Linked DNA regions of Mus musculus: region 1 is reported to be linked to region 2. Evidence: microRNA targets listed by miRTarBase, many of them from high-throughput screens and not tested one by one. Region 2 holds a microRNA gene; the other region holds the end of a gene's coding sequence.

Evidence for each region. The annotated mature microRNA mmu-miR-350-3p reads UUCACAAAGCCCAUACACUUUC and lies in region 2 at 3,247-3,268, shown strand. An mRNA with a match to its seed (bases 2 to 7 or 8) in the 3' UTR can be bound and repressed. Matches are read on the target gene's strand: a 7mer-m8 pairs with bases 2 to 8, a 7mer-A1 pairs with bases 2 to 7 and ends in A, and an 8mer does both.
Region 1: the mRNA of Ube2j2 is a reported target of mmu-miR-350-3p. Seed matches in the 3' UTR shown: 7mer-A1 at 2,667-2,673.

The regions. Positions count from the first base shown.
Region 1 is chr4:155,956,372-155,961,755 of GRCm38, reverse strand. Ube2j2 (ubiquitin-conjugating enzyme E2J 2) reads right to left here. Exons shown (of 8, transcript NM_021402.6): 7 at 5,308-5,384; 8 at 2,152-4,675. The coding sequence ends at 4,391. Among named protein-coding and RNA genes, the nearest start is that of C1qtnf12, 3.2 kb to the left of the region's middle.
Region 2 is chr1:176,770,226-176,775,609 of GRCm38, reverse strand. Mir350 (microRNA 350) reads left to right here and starts at 3,187; the gene lies at 3,187-3,285. It overlaps Cep170 (centrosomal protein 170), which reads left to right. Exons shown (of 20, transcript NM_001099637.2): 8 at 700-1,176.

The DNA.
Region 1 (5,384 bases), not on the chromosome of region 2:
GCCTGTCTTCTAAGAGGTTAGCACAGGCCCAGGCTACACTTCAAGGGGGAACTGGTCCCTGTACATCTCTGACCAATACAATTCCCCCCCCACACCCCCCCAGTCCTCGTGAGTGACAGTGTCAGGTCCCCAGAGAAAGGCCCTTCAAGATCAAAGTTGGGCTAGCTAAGGACAAGCCAAGCCAATGAGTACCTTGAGCTCAGTGATTACGAGGTAGTGGCCCTTGAGACTGGTCCAGGATTCCCAGTAGCCAGATAGCCTCCAACTGGTAAAAGCCGTGGCTACAAACAGCCAGGTGTGGTTCCAACTGCTCTATGAAGGGACTGGAGCTGCATCCCTAACACACGCTGGTTGGTCCCAGTAGGTATGGGTCCTGGTAAACAGAACGCAATGTTCTACAATAGTGGCCCTCAATTCTCACTCCAAAAAAGAGTGAAAGGTGACCAAGCAAGCCGTCCCAGCTCCAGGCCACACCCAGTCAGAGAAGCCTAACAAATCAAGCAGGGATAGAGCAGAACGTAAAGGGAAGTACCGTGCGTGCGTGCGTGTGTGTATCCATGTGTTATATATGCCAAGAAAGACAGCCTCTATGCCCCAAGTTCAAGTCTCAGGTTCGGGGAGGGCAAGTGCCTCAGCCCAGAGACCTCTTCAAAGATGCAGCACCCTGTTCCTTTGGTCCACTTATACCTCGGTGGCCTATCTGGAAGTGGGATTCCGCAGCTGTCTTTCAGGCAGTTTATAAGCAGGTAGGCTAGACTTACCCTGTCACAGAAATACCACAGTAGGCAGGGACCTCATGTTGTGGCTAGGGATGGACTCAAGTTTCCAGTTTTCCAGCTTCAATATCTCCCTGCCACAAACAACTTGGAAAATAACCAAGAGGATCCTACACTGGATCACAAATACCCTGACCAAAGTGGCCCCTAGGAGCATCTGCTATTGGCTCTCATCCAAGCCCTGGAGAAAACAGGAACCGGTGGCTCACTATAGATGCAAAGGCTACTCCGGCCTAAAATAATAGCACCTAGGAGGCAGACAGAGAATTAAAGTCCAGCCTGAGTTACATGAGGCCCTGTTTAAAAAAAAAAAAAATTCCTGAGAGAGCTTGACACCTTGACAGCACACCTGAAAGCTCTAGAACAAAAAGAAGCAAACACCAAGTGGAGAAGAGGCAGGAAACAATCAAACTCAGGGCTGTAATCAACCAAATAGAAACAAAAAGAACTGCACAAAGAATCAACAAAACCAGGAGCTGGTTCTTTGAGAAAATCAACAAGACAGATAAACCCTTAGCCAGACTAACCAGAGGGCACAAAGACAGTATCCAAACTAATAAAATCAGAAATGAAAAGGGACACATAACAATGAACTATATCTTAAAATAATTGTTTGTTGAAAATATTAAAATCATGTTCTACAAACAAAATGGAAATATTACTGATAATTTTTCTCACTGTGCTTGAAATTAGCATTTTCTTAATGTTTAACTTCGAAGAGTTTTCACTATTTTGAAATTTTAAAAATATACTTACTGATAAAATAATCTCTCCTAGAAACACTGATATTCTTTTTTAAGTAAACTTATAGTTAAGACAATGTACACAGATATATAAGGCATTTTTAATACTCTCTTACTATGCCAGGTGGTATAAGGGCTTTTGAATATATCTCTTAATGATTCAATTTTAATATTTTATGCTCTAATACTATGCTTAATTCCCAAAGAATATTTTGTATGTTTTGAAACAATTTAGTATTCAATATTAAATATAGGATCCTCAGTTATGGATAGTATTAAATGTTCATTAATGATATTTTTAGGATGAAAGGATATGAAAGTTGAACAAAATTTTTTATGTATTATTTGACTCTCAAAATACCCATTAATGTTTGATTATTAAATGCATTGAAATAAAAAATTTAAGGAAAAAAACTCCCAAAGACTATCTGAGAGCTCTTTTTCTCAGGGAAGAACAGAAGTGGCCAAGTGGGAAAGTTCCCTTCCAAGGTACCCCTTTCTTTGAATAACAACAGAATGTGAGCTTTAGGAGAGGTTTTCACCTCCTAAGGAAGAGCTAATAGAGGGCAGTCCTGGATGCCAACTGCCCCAGTCAGTGACCTCTCCCAAGACAAGTCAACAAGGCAGGCATGCTTGAGCCAATGGTTAAAAAGGCCACCTTTTATTCGGGGGTCAGAGCACGGAACACACAGTGGACACTCTAGGGTCCTGTAGCACTCAAAGCTGGGAGAAGTGTTGGGGCTAACCTGCCAAGCCGGCACAGCACTCTTCAGTCGTACACTAAGTGCGACACCTTGTGGCCAGAGAGCAGGCTGCTTTTTACTTCTACCCTAAGAACAAGCACTTCCTAAAATTTTCTTTCCTTCTGAGCTGTTAAGAGTTTGGTCCTGTGAAGGCTTGATGCCCCAGTGAAGGGCAGTAGGGTGGTGGGGCAGGACTGGGTGGGGGAGCACCCTCATGGAGGCAGGAGGATGGGATGGGGGTTCTTTGGAGAGAAAACCGGGAAGGGGGATAACAATTGAAATGTAAATAAACAAAATAACCAATTAAAAATTTTAAAAAAGGGCTGGTGAGATGGCTCAGTGGTTAAGAGTACTGACTGCTCTTCCAGAGGTCCTGAGTTCAAATCCCAGCAACCACATGGTGGTTCACAACCATCTGACACCCTCTTCTGAAGTGTCTGAAGACAGCTAGTGTACTTACATATAATAAAATAAATAAATCTTAAAAATTTTTTAAAATCAAAGTTGAGCTTTCAGTTGGGCAATGGAGGCCCACACCTTGAATCCTAGCTCTTGGGAGGCAAAGGCACGTGGATCTGAGATGAAGGACAGCTTGATTTATAGAGTGAGTTCTAGGACAGCTGGGGACACACAGAGAAACCCTGTCTTGAAATCCCTAAACTCCCATAAAGGCCATGCTGGGGCCAGGGGGCTGGGGGTGGTGCTGAGATTTCAGAGGACTAAATTCGATAATGTTCTGTCTTTCAAGAACTTCAGGAAACACCAATTTGGAATTGAGGTAATTTGCAACGGAGCACTCTGGGACCAGGGAAAAATTACCATCTACCAATAGTAGGAAGCACATGTCTGTAGGGCTCCACCCACCGAAGGCTGCACAGGTTGCACAGGCCCAACCAAGGGTTGTCAATCTACCTTTTGGCAGCTGCAACATTCCCTTCTCACAAGCCAGGCATTGCACTTGGTCACAGCCTACCAGGGAAGGGACATTAACACAGACATCGTGGAGTTCAGAGCAAAGGGGTAACTAAAGACCGTTTTAGGAGAGGACTACATGGTATATACATACTAGTTGTAAACCACAGAGCTGAATTACAGGTAATCATCACATGGGAGCACTTCAGCTTTACCATGGCCCCTGAAAGGAGGTGGGCTTAGAAGGCTTTTAGGAGCCCCTGGTGATGATTGATGCCCAACACAGACGATGTTAGCCTTCCCAAACAACTACTGCAGGTACATTAAGCAAAATCTCAAAGAGATGACATCCATAAGGGAGCTTGCCAGCTTACTGGTGGCCTGGTGACGTGTTCTGGGCAGTTTCCCTCTCCATGATCTGTAGAGAGCGACATCTTACATAGGTCACCCGGAAAGGATGGTGTAGCCTACCGTAAGATATGAAAGAACTTGGAGTGCACTGTCTGCCAACATAGGAGGGCCGGCTTCTGGCCAACTGGACATAAGGAACCAGGGTTACCAAGGCTCCTACTTCTCCATCACTCAAGGGAGCTGAAAGCAGAGGTACTAAGGTTGACAGCAGTACCTGGGCTACCCACAGTCCTTCACCACAGTCCTCAGCCACGGTTCTAAGTGCAGCACTTTGTGGTCAGAGAGCAAGCTGCTGCTTCTACCTTAACAGAAAGCAGAACCGGCACTTTGTGTGAGTCTTCTCTCACTCAGAAGCAATTTTACAATGAGATCAAATCAGTCCTCTCCTAGACCAGCCGGCCCACTTAGCCCCACCAGGAGGCTTTCAGCTCCTCCACTAAGAACACACACAGAGTATTTGATAGGCATTAAAGTTTTATATTTTAAGTGACCAAATCTAATAAAATGAAAAACAAAACAAAACAAAACCAACAAAACAGGTTTACTAAACAGGGTCAAAAGACAACACAGGAGATAAGCAGTAAAACCAGAGCGCGAGTGGCTCCGTCCAGTCAACCTCAAGAGGGAGTTGAGAACCACCAGTCTCCTCCAGATCACATTTTGGTTTTTGCTTTCTCTTTAAGGTTTGTAAAAAGTGAAGCCCGGGAGTCCGGCAGGCCACCCTGTGCCAGCACGTCCTTCACGCCGGCATCAAGCTCTGGCCCTGTGTCCCTCGGCAGCAACTGTAGGCTGTGGCTTGTGACCCTCACTCCTGTGCTATGCTTCTCAGCACGTACTTGACCGTGTAGGCGAAGGCTGCAAACCCAACTATAACAAACAAGTTCGCCAACGCGCCGCCCAGGAGTCCGTGATGCCTGTTGGCCTGTGGGAGCCCAGCGAGGTTGGGGCCAGCAGCGGGTGCGTGCCCATTGAGGAGCTGGATCCCATGCTGGCCACGGTGCAGCTCCCCATCAGGAACCACGTCTGGCAAAGGAAGATTCTGGGGCCTGTTACTTAGTTCATCTTGTGCTTTCTGTTTCTGTTTAATTTCCTGAGAGAAAAACAAAAAAACCCTCAGTTGTCTTAACCTGTCCATTTGGGAGCAGAACTCAAGTTTTTACAAGCTCAGATCTACCACCCAGAACACAGTTCCCCATGCCTCTGCATGAGCATAGCTTTGCATCCCATTTTACAGGTAAAGAAAGCAAGCAAGGTGTCAACATCATTCCTCTGTGCCCGAGTCGAGTAACGAGCTACCAAAAGCTACACCACCTTCCAGCCCACAGTACATGCCCAGCCCTTGCAGGAGGCAACTGATGCACCCCCTGGCTACTGGTGGCAGATCTCTTGAGGGATGGCCACTGATCAGCAAGCATGCCTCTGTGTGGACACTTGTGTATGTTCCTCAGAGTCTCTCCCACATCCCTAAGCTGTCTTTCCCGCACTATAGGGTCCTGGAGAAGAGCTAGCTCTGTCACCCAATAGTGTGTGCATCTGGAAGCATGACCAGTACTGAGCCTTCTACATCCTCCAGCAACAAGGAGGGCCTGCAATCCCACTACAACACCTACAGGAACACAGCAGTAAGCACACAAACACAGCTTCTCTTTGGAAACAATTATATCTGAAAGTGTTTTTAACATAAAGGAAGACAAAACTAAGTTCCCACTTTTGCCTTCTTACCTCCACAACTTCAGGAAATAATTCACAAAAGACTTTATCTTTTAAATTAAACACTAGACTCTGTGCTGCCAGCTGTT
Region 2 (5,384 bases):
ACGTCCTTTGGGTTTTGTACACACTCTGCTGTGCAGAGCTGTAAACTAAGTCTCTTCCAGACTTACTGGCTGACAACAGAATTTTCTGTTCTTGCATTGTTTCTTTCATACTGCTGCTTAGATGGCCATTGCTGCAAGCAAGCCACACGTTTTATCACTAACCACTTTCACCTAATAATGTGTGTCATCTCCCAAGCTTCCATAATATCAGTTTTGTCCTAGAGTGGGCTCTGAACATTATAATTGAGACTGGTAAGTGGAATTGTTAATTCCAAAGCATCGCTTATGTATTAATTTCATATCTCCATCTTCACCTGACTACCTCTTCACTATTAGAGCCCTACATTATTCACAAATGTTTCAAATAGCCCATTCGGTGACGTGTTGAGGCTATTCATGCTTTTTCTATCAAACAGTGTGTGTATATGTACAGAGCATCTCCATCCATACTTTAATTCTTTCTCACCTTGAGTTTTCCTGCTTTGCTTTTTTTTGGCATTGCTGCTGTTCACCTTGCATCTCCTGATCATAGTCAAGACCGTTCCTTGTCTGTTACATCTGTCTAACATACGAGTGCAATTCTTTTCATCCAGGCTGTTAATCTGCCTTCTGATTCTCAGAATAGTAATGGTCATTACCAATGACCCTCATGCTTCAGGCTTCCAAATATTTTGAATTCTCTCTCCTTTTCCTCATTAGGGTGCAGCACAGAGGCCAAGCACGTGGAGGGACAGTCTGCGGCTGCAAGTGAAGAAGCACTTTTTCCCTTCTGTAGGGAGCCAAGTTATTTTGAAATTCCTACAAAAGAATTCCAGCAGCCATCACAAATAGCAGAGAGCACTATTCATGAGATTCCAACAAAAGACACACCAAGTTCCCATACAGCAGGTGCAGGGCATGCTTCATTTACCATTGAATTTGATGACAGTACGCCAGGAAAAGTAACTATTAGAGACCATGTGACAAAATTCACTTCTGACCAGCGCCACAAGTCAAAGAAGGCCTCTCCAGGAACTCAAGACTTGCCAGGAATTCAGACAGGAATGATGGCACCAGAAAATAAAGTAGCTGACTGGCTAGCCCAAAACAACCCTCCTCAAATGGTGTGGGAAAGAACAGAGGAGGATTCCAAGAGCATTAAAAGTGATGTTCCTGTGTACTTGAAAAGGTTGAAAGGTAAAGTGATCTTCAGAGATTCCTATTGTATCATAAGTTACCAGACAGACTACTGTTACTTAATTATACACTGGAAAATATCTTTTTCAAAATTTACGTTTAATTTTAAAGCTCAAGAGCAAACAGCACTGTTTATGTCCAGATTTCTCATTCATATTAGCTTTTCTTTGTTTTCTTGCCAAAACCACATTGGTTTGGGGATGGCAGGTTACTTATGTCATTTAATCTCTTTACCTGCAGAAATAAAAATCTATTAATTATACAAAGCAGAATTTTCCTGAAAATAATCCCCATCATTTTCTTGATTTAAAGAAAAGATATGTACAGTTCTTTTTCTCTCTATCATGCTTCCAATATAGCACCATTTCTAGGTTTTGAAAACAAAATTAAGCTACTTACCTGCTTACACCAGAAAGTCAGATTGCGCTGGAGTGAGTGCTTCACACTGTCAGCTGTGTGCAGAAGCTCCTCACACACAGACGCTTTCAGCTGAGATACATTCACTAGGTATCTACAATTCTAACACAAAGTTTGTGCTGTCAACTGCAATTTGATGTTCATTTGCAGAAATTAATCATATTATATAGTAATATTAGCTATTACATATACTTTATTCAACACTTAGTTACAGTCATTGCATGTATATTGATTGTAACAACTAATCAGCTTTCTTCCCACTGGTTTTGTGAATTGAATTTCTTTTGGAATTTGTGTTATTTTGTTTTGTATTTTAATATGCTATCAATAAGGGAATTGCTTTGAACAAATGATTGTGAATTTGACAGTTCTGTGGCTTTTATGGGGAGATGATTAATTCTATTCTAAAAACTGCTTTTTGGGGTCAGGGAACATATATAGCCTACTGTATTCCTTAACCCTGCATCTGGGACTTCAGCATAGGCTATTATCTAATGGCTTCATTGTTAATGACAGGACTGACTCTGGCTTTAATTATAGTGATCAGCAGTTACCTAGCAGAAAGATAATTGAATTCTGATTGTGATATATTTACTCCTCCTACATGTTAGTTATATCATAGTTGAATCATACGCATGCAAAGGTTAAAGATAACATGTAAAATGACTGCTAATGTAAATTTGATGAAAAATAGTGATAAGCTAGTAGTATATCAGAGGTAGTATATGCCTTGAAAATGAGTCTTCTTAAAACCCATACACTTACTGCATAGATGAAGGATGAATTAAAAAGATCCTTTGGCAAGATTCCATCAAAATATCTTTGTTAAGGAGCTGGAGAGGTAGCTTAGCAGTTAGGACCCAGGTTTAATTTTCAGCATCCATATGTTGGCTCCACACCATCCATAAAGAGGGGATCCAGTGTCCTCTTGTGACTTCTTCAGGTATCAGGCACTCACAGGGTAAACTTACATGCTTGAAGGCAAAACACTCATAGGCATAAAATAAAATAATACTTAGAGAAATACTGAAAATCCTTTTATAGCAGTGTAATTGTTAAATGTTTTCTGTATTAACAATTATCCTTAAGCCATCATTTTAGTATATTCTCTGCTCTTCACCAGGACCTATTTGAGCCAAATTAGAAGTAGAATCATTAATACCCATATGAACACTGTCTTTATACTGATCAGAATATATTTTTAAATTTTGCCAAAAATTAGTCTAATCACTATTGACCTTGAATTATTCTTTCATACTTGACATTAGCCTATTTTGAAAGCCATCCAAAAAAAATTTTTCCCAGCAATAACTCACTTTGTATCCCAAATAGAGCCATGCTATTTATTTCTTCATACTTATTTACAAATGACATTAACTTTCTTCAAAATTCAGAGCTGTTATCAATAAATAAGTTTCCCATTAGTTTATAAAACGGATACATTCAGATTTTGAATAACGGAGGTAGATAGTAGTTAGTAACAATTTATTAAAACTTGGACTTTGAGCAACTGTGAAAATCAATTGATATGAGATATAGATAGATAGATAGATAGATAGATAGATAGATAGATAGATAGATAGATAGATAGATAGATGCCTTGCTCCTACAAGAGTAAAGTGCATGCGCTTTGGGACAGTGAGGAAAATAATGTTCACAAAGCCCATACACTTTCACCCTTTAGGAGAGTTGCAGCTTGCTTTATACCAACTTCTCACAAAGTACAGCCAAGCTAACCTGAGGGATAGCAAGTGAATGTCTGTATTTAGGATAGTTAGAGATCAGCAGAGGGGTTAAGAAGTATGCTGAGCATTTCTGCGTGGTCTTTTTACTGAATAGAAACATAAGATTACAACTCTGATCTAATCATGCCTCAACTTTTCCCCTTGGGTAATACACAGAAGCACTAGAAGGACTAATAGCTTTATAAGAAAGAAAATGACTAATCTCCAACAGATTAGTAACAATGAAACTTGTGTTTTCATTAAAAATTCTGAAGTAAATTTACAGTCTTACTTACAGGTCTAACAGTATAGAAACTATTAGTGTTTATTCTTTTGGACCTTAACAAACTGAATTCCTATTCAGTTTATCCAACCCAGTATGTTTTAAACAGTACTATAATAAAATGTGTGTCTAAACTAGTAGTTACATCTCTGTTTGTTTTCCATATACTACTCATGATTCCTAAATTATCAGTGTTGGAGATTCCACTAATTAAGCACATTGTTGGGTTTTTTTTTCTTTTCATAGTACTTTTTGGATAGTAAATAATTTGAAGAATTTTTACATTCATCTCATTTGATTTTTATGTTAATCTGTCACTTTGAATCTGCCTTATCTTTACCATAGTAGTGCCCTCCGTTTCTCCTCCTTTTTCAAGATGTCATTCAGTTCTACCATTCCCTTGTCTGTCCTCATTTCTTTTATGTACTACATTTTACAGGTAGTTCTCTTGTGTTATATTTCACTGTTATTGGGAGCTTCCAGATTTACTAGGAACAAACCCATACACGTTATAAATCCTTTCCCCTAGACATACATCTCATTCTTTCATACACAGCAAGCCTTTTCTTTCTGATTGCTCTCTTGTTGACAGATGTTTACTTTAGAGTAGACAGCGTGGGAATGTTTCAAAGTCAGATTATTTCTACAAGATTGGATTCTGTCAATGTACATTCTAATATACTAGATTCATTTATAACTTTGAAAAGATTTTTGTTAATCCTTGATTGGTGATCCATCTAAATCATGCTGTCTTAGGGTTCTACTGCTATGAACAGACACCATGACCAAGGCAACTCTTAAAAGAACATTTAATTGGAGCTGGCTTACAGGTTCCGAGGTTTAGTGCATTATCATCAAGGCAAGAGTATGGCAGCATCCAGGCAGGCATGGTGCAGGAGGAGCTGAGAGTTCTACATCTTCATCTGAAGGCAGCTAGAAAACGGGCTCCCACATGGTTAGAGTAGGTTCTCAAAGCCCACCAGCACAGTGACAGACTTCCTCCAACATGGCCACACCTCCTCCAACAAGGCCATACCCCCTAATGATGCCACTCCTTTGGTCAAACATATTCAAACCACCACACATGCCTAGAGTAACTCTTGCTCTGATCTAGAAAAACCTTTATTGGGAGGCTAGTATAATATTGGACATGGTATCTACCTATATCTGTACCATGTAGTTTATTAGAAGGAAGGGTATAGTAGAAGTCTTTGTAGTTGGTAGGATGTCAGCATCATTTAACTCTTTGAAGCCACTAGAGTTCTAAGAAAACATTTGTAAACATTGGTTGTTACTAATAGTAGCTACAAATTTCAGTCTTTTTATTGAAAGGTGTGTTGAACTTTTAAAATTATTGAATATCATAATTTAGATATACTCCATTTTAATGACATTCATATTGTGTTAAATAGTGTTTCGGTTACACCAGTCTTTTAAATGATTCCTTTTATTTGTTGCGATTATAATCATTTTACTTTCCCATTTCCTTTCCTCTGTACAAACCCTCCCATAAACCTCTTCTCACTCTTTTTCAAATTATTGCTCACTTTTTTCATTAATTGTTCTTACATACATAATTTCTAAACAATCTACTGTGTCTATATAATCTTGCTTTTCTGATGTTTTCAGGCAGGGCTGACCATTTGATATTGGATAATCAGTTGGTGTGTTCTTCCTTGGGGACGACTGTTTCCCCCACTCTTGGCATCCCTTAGTTGCCTGTAGTTCTTTGTGTAGGGTTGAAACCTTGGAGTCTGGTCTTTTTTTTGTTTGTTTAGTACCAA